2 linked regions of the Cricetulus griseus genome follow. The protein of the gene in region 2 interacts with the protein of the main gene of each other region in a biochemical or structural test. Links are inferred from orthologs where the notes say so. Each region holds a gene or a part of one and is shown on either strand. Other genes may lie near its edges.

Region 1 (2,307 bases), on a different chromosome or scaffold from region 2:
GTTCAGGGATTACAGCAGCTCTCTGAGCCTGTAGAGTCCCTTGGGCCACCGACCGCTCTGCAGTGGGATGAAGAGCAACAGTTGAACAACGTGAATGAATTGCTTAGCCCGCTATGCGAGCTCCTCCTCGAAGACAAGCCCTCCAGAGTGGCAGGCAAAGCTGCCCAGGCTGGCCCTGTGGGTAAGGCTGACTTCTCCTTGTCTTCTGAGTGCTACTCTCCCTCCCACTAGTGTGTAGAAGTGGGGAGTCAGGGGTCATTCCTACCCACTCCCCTATTTCTGATTTGTTCTTTAGAGGCCTTGGGTCCCCCACCACCAGTCCCCAGCACCATGTGTCCACTGAGGAAGAAGCTCTGGCAGAGTAAGGATGCCTGTGTGTGTACGTGTGTGCGTGTACACTCATCTGTGTGCTCATGACAGCACATGTATGCAAGCATGTGTCTGGGTATATATGGGGTGAGGGCCCCGATATGACTGTCCTGTCCATGGACCTTCCTGGGCCTGGCCCCACCTATGCACTTGTTGCAGGATGTAACCTGCGTCCACATCCGCCCTGAGGCAGCTGCAGCCAGCAAAGTGTTAAAGGGCAGATTCTGACCACATGCACCTAGGGTCCCTCACAGTTTTTCCACTTAATACTATGTGATCTCAACTCTCTGAACCTCAGTTTCCCCTCTTGTAAAATGGGAAGATGTAGAAGATCCCAGCTCAGAGGTAGCAATGAACAGTTCGCTACTATAATGATGCCTGGTGCTCTGCCCTCCAAGCCTGGTAGACATTTGAACTGTCTGTAAATGGACCCGCAGTAGCTCTCTATGCTGTAGAAAAGAAAAATGACACCTTTGCCTGCTTCTCTTCATCTCTTTTGAATAGATTATCGTAATCTGACCTTTGACCCGGACACTGCAAACCAGTACTTGTACTTGTCCCATGAGGACCAGCAGGTGACACACCGTTTCCAGGCCCAGAGCCCAGTCAGGCCAGGCAGCTTTGAGCTGTGGCAGGTACAGTGTACCCAGAGTTTTCAGACTGGACAGCACTACTGGGAGGTGCGTGCCTCTGAACACTCTGTGACATTGGGTGTCACCTACCCAAAACTATCACGCCGGAAGGTGGGGAACCACACGGATAACATCGGCCGTGGACCTTACTCCTGGGGCCTCTGCATCCAGGAGGACAGTATCCAGGCCTGGCACAACGGCAAGGCTGAGCGCCTACATGGGGCACCTGGACTTCTCCTGGGCATAGATTTGAACTTGACCTCTGGCTGCCTCAACTTCTACAGCCTAGAGCCACGGACAGAGAGGCTCCATACCTTCTATGCGGTGTTCAGCCAGCCTCTCTTCCCTGTCTTCTGGCTCCTTGAGGGGAGGACCCTCACTCTTTGCCACCAGCCTGAGGCCAAGCTCCCTCCAGGGCCCAGGGAAGAGGCCTCAGCACTCTGCTGACAGGGGCACAGACAAGTGTCACCATGCCGGTGAGGCCAAGAGTGGCTCAGCCTCTGACTTGGAGACTGAAGGCCACTATTGTTCAAGGAATAGCTGTTGGCCTCTCTGTTGGCTCAGGACACAGATGAGAGGGGAGCATCTAAATCAAAGTTTACTTTTCACTCTCTTTGAAGGAGAAGCCCCAGCCCCAAGCAAAAGCCAAGTTCTTGGCATTGCCTAGACATCTGTCTTAGTTACTGTTCTATGGCTGTGAGGAGACACCATGACCAAGGCAAGTTTTATAAAAGAAAGCATTACCTGGGGGCTTGTTTACAGTTTTAGAGAGTTAGTTCATGATCATCATGGCAGGAAACAGACAAGCCTGGTGCTGGAGCAGTAGCTGAGATCTTTGCATCCTGATCTGTGGGGGAGGGAGAGGGAGAGAAAGGGAGAGGGGGAGGGGGAGGGGAAGAGGGAGAGAAACTAAGCCCGGCATGGGCTTTTGAAACCTCAAAGCCCACCCCCAGTGACACACCTTCTCCAACAAGGCCACACCTCCTAACCCTTCCCAAACAGTTCCACCAGCTGGGGACTAAGCACAGGTTGTGGAGAGCAGATGTGGTGATGGGTGTGGGTGCTTGGGATGTGAACAGCTTGCCCTTGCTCTTCCAGAACAAGCTTCCATGAGGGTCCTGGGATGTTTTTTTTTTTTTTTTTTTTAACTGGGGTTAGAACCTGGAATGTTTTGAGTACTAGACAATAGCCCCTCCCTTGGCCAGACGTGACAGTGCACAACTGTAATCCCAGCACTCAGGAGGCAGAGGCAGGTGGATCTCCGTGGGTTTGAGGCCAGCCTGGTCTACAAAGCTGAGTTTCAGGA
Region 2 (3,522 bases):
AGCCTTATCTTAAATACCTTTGTGTTCTAGATGCAGTGTCTACATCTAATGTAAACACAATAGGTATTTAATGTCAGATGAATAGATTGAATGATATATAGATGGTAATTTCAAATTAACTGATTCAATACAAATATTTCTCTTATGAGTCCACACACAGTCCTTTGGCTGATATTCCTCTGTTTTTTTTTTTTTTCACTTTGGTTTCCTCTCTGTTTCATCTGAATTTTTAAGATATCTGTATGTTCTCATCTTTAAAGGTGATGTTAGCTGAGCAACTTTTCCGCAAAGAGTTCAACCCATTTTTGAAGAAATGGTATCGCATTATTGGATTAAGTGGTGACACCCAGCTGAAAATATCGTTTCCAGAAGTTGTCAAGTCTTATGACGTTATCATCAGCACAGCTCAGATCCTGGAGAATTCCCTCCTAAATCTGGAGAGTGGAGAAGATGATGGTGTGCAGCTGTCAGGTTGGTCGGAGTGATCACTTTTAGAAAAAAGGACTCATAGAAACATTAAAGACAGTAACAGGGGATGTTCCTTCAGTCATTTTTTACATGATGAAAATTAACCTTAGCTTATCTAAGTTATTTTTTATTTCATAAGGATCATCAAAGTGCTGTACCTCCTGAAAAATATGAACAAAAACAAAAAAATGTTTGACTCGAAGGCTTGCTTTTGCATAAGTATATCATTACTAAATCAAACATCAAGCACTCACTATGTTCTTCCATTACCCCTCTCTCTCTCTCTCTCTCTCTCTCTCTCTCACACACACACACACACACACACACACACACACACACACACGCACACACACACACACACACACACACACACAAACACTTTCAACTTAATTTTTGATTGACCCACAGTGTACCAGAATTTTTCTAAATCCTTCTTTGAGAGGTTAATAGTTCTTCCTTTGTGCTGTCATTCTGCTTGTGTCTCTCAGAGAGAATAATTACATTATAATATATATCATATATAAAATATTATGTATATAATTTTTAAATTTGATGATAGATCCTACTACAACTATCTTGTTTTGTTTTTGTTTTGTTTTGTTTTTGGCTTTTTGAGACAGGGTTTCTCTGTATAGCTCTGTAGACCAGGGTGGCCTTGAACTCACAGAGATCTACCTCTGGAGTGCTGGGATTACAGGGATGTACCACCACCCGGCTACAACTATCTTATTTACTGTAGAATAAAACTACAATCCTGCTTACATTATTTGGGAGGGTTAAATGATTAGGAGAAAGACAGAGAAAAGTAGAAGAAAATCACAATAATTAAATGCAAAGTTTAAACAACACAAAACCATCCCTCTTTAAATAGTATACTTTTCACTCAGTATAACAAAAATAGAATTTGTCAGCCTAAAATTAAAATTTTATTCAAGAACAAAAGTGGATCCCTGGGGAGATTTTTGTTTTTGTTGTTTGTTTATTTGGAAGAAAGATGTGAATTTCACTAACACTTTCTGAATCTTATCTTGAGACAGGGATAACAGCTAATAGGAACAGAGCCATGATTACCATACATAAACATGTTTTCATGTATGGTAATAAATGGGTAAAGTCATGACAGCAGATTGAGGTAGGGCTGTACCAATACTCTACCCAATGAAAGACACACAATGGTAGTGCATTCCTTTATAGCACCAAGGTGCTTGTCTTATTGTACCATGCCATTTTGGGTAATCAGACCTTCTACCTTTTCTGTTAAGATTTTTCCCTCATTATCATTGATGAATGTCATCACACCAATAAGGAGGCAGTCTACAACAATATCATGAGGCGGTATTTGAAGCAGAAATTGAAGAACAATAAGCTCAAGAAACAAAACAAACCAGTAGTTCACCTGCCACAGATTCTAGGACTGACAGCTTCACCTGGTGTTGGAGGAGCCAAAAAGCAAGCTGAGGCTGAAAAACATATTTTAAATGTAAGTCATTGAGTTAGTGAATGACCAAACAAGCTGTGTCTATGTCTTAGGATTTTAAATGGTGTTGAGAATTCAAGTGCCAATGTCATCAGTGAAATGAAGGCTATTTGCTTTGCCTCTAGAAATTAGCCTCAATTTTCTACAACATGTGATATCCTTCATAAATGCAAGCAATACAGAGCGATAGCATAATTGCTATGAAGCTAGATGTAATTAATGAGAAGAGTTACAGAGATGGCTCAGCCATTAATGGCTAGGCTCACAACCAAAATTAATGAGGTTTGGGTTGAGTAGAATGCCTGTGCAGCTACGTCGTCGCTTCTGCACTTGAACTTCATGATCTTCTTGATAAAGAAACATAGTTAAACTACAAATGTTGACAATGTTCATTCCTGATGGCTTGTTACTCCATGACTTTCAAAGCAGCTTGCTTTCTGTGTCTTTTTCCACTATGTGTCAGTTTAGGATACAGGTTATTCAAGTTAAAAGAGGAAAGAGGCAAATGCAGTGGTTCCTGCCTTTAATTCTGGCCAAGTGGGAAACAGAGCCAAGCAGATTGCTGCTAGTTTACATAGTGAGTTCCAGGCCAGCTAATGCTGCTGAGTAAGACCCTGTCTTACCCTGGCTTTGGGGATGTGAGTGGGGGGAATGAGAAATAGAAATAGGAGGATCTTTTATTAAAGATGTACTCATCAACTTCCCCATATGGGGGTGCCATTTACAGTGCTGCTGTTGGTTTCAAGTGAGATCATCAGAGTCCTCAGAAGCCTCCCATTGTAGGTTGAATTCAGTAGAAATTATTAAATTAAAAACCATTCAGAAGAGTGTTGTCTCCAAAATATAACTTATTATGGGAGTAAAAGCCTAACTTCTACTTAGGATCTAGGCACAAAGAGTAAGGCAGCCCCTCCCTTTGTGCTGTTCTCTTTGTATGTAGAAAAGAATGAGGCTAAGTCCTATATAACATCTACAAAATGGAATTTAAAGGACAAAAAAGGAATTAGAACACACTTTTAGAAGATACCAGAATATTATTGATCATTGATTGATTGAATCCATAGTAAGCAATGCTAAAATGCTACAGTTAATAAATAATGTTGCATATTACTTGAATAAAATGTTATGCTATATATTTATGCTAAAAACTTCATGTTACACTTTGCTGACACAAAAATATGCATTCAATTGTAAGAATACTTAAAGTGTCTCTTTTCCAGATATGTGCCAATCTTGATGCATTTACCATTAAAACAGTGAAAGAGAATCTCGGTCAACTTAAACACCAAATAAAGGAACCATGCAAGAAGTTTGTGATTGCAGATGACACCAGAGAAGTATGTTCTAAACATTTCACACTGTCTGTCAACACTATATTGAATTGAAAGATGGCAGGGGTTATCTTACATTGACTGACCAAATATTTCCATTAACATTTTTATCAAAAAGCCATCATTTTATACTTTTAAAAATTGATACAAGGCACCAGTACTTAGCTACAGATGATTCTTGGAGGAGTGGAAGTATTGGACTGAGGAGCATTGAATGGCTAAACTGGAGGGATTATAGGTGTTAAT

What was found.
Region 1: of the proteins of Ifih1 (region 2) and Trim65, one has a biochemical effect on the other in vitro, tested with the Homo sapiens proteins (2 studies listed by BioGRID, with this or other methods). The link is inferred for Cricetulus griseus from reciprocal best matches to the Homo sapiens genes IFIH1 and TRIM65.

Annotation. Positions count from the first base shown.
Region 1 is NC_048600.1:128,708,520-128,710,826, reverse strand, and holds the end of Trim65 (tripartite motif-containing protein 65), read left to right. Parts: intron 1-6; coding exon 7-181; intron 182-295; coding exon 296-361; intron 362-873; coding exon 874-1,448; 3' UTR 1,449-1,795; downstream 1,796-2,307. UniProt on the Homo sapiens protein: E3 ubiquitin ligase that plays a role in several processes including innate immnity, autophagy or inflammation.
Region 2 is NC_048599.1:112,294,009-112,297,530, forward strand, and holds part of Ifih1 (interferon-induced helicase C domain-containing protein 1), read left to right. Parts: intron 1-260; coding exon 261-471; intron 472-1,730; coding exon 1,731-1,948; intron 1,949-3,165; coding exon 3,166-3,282; intron 3,283-3,522.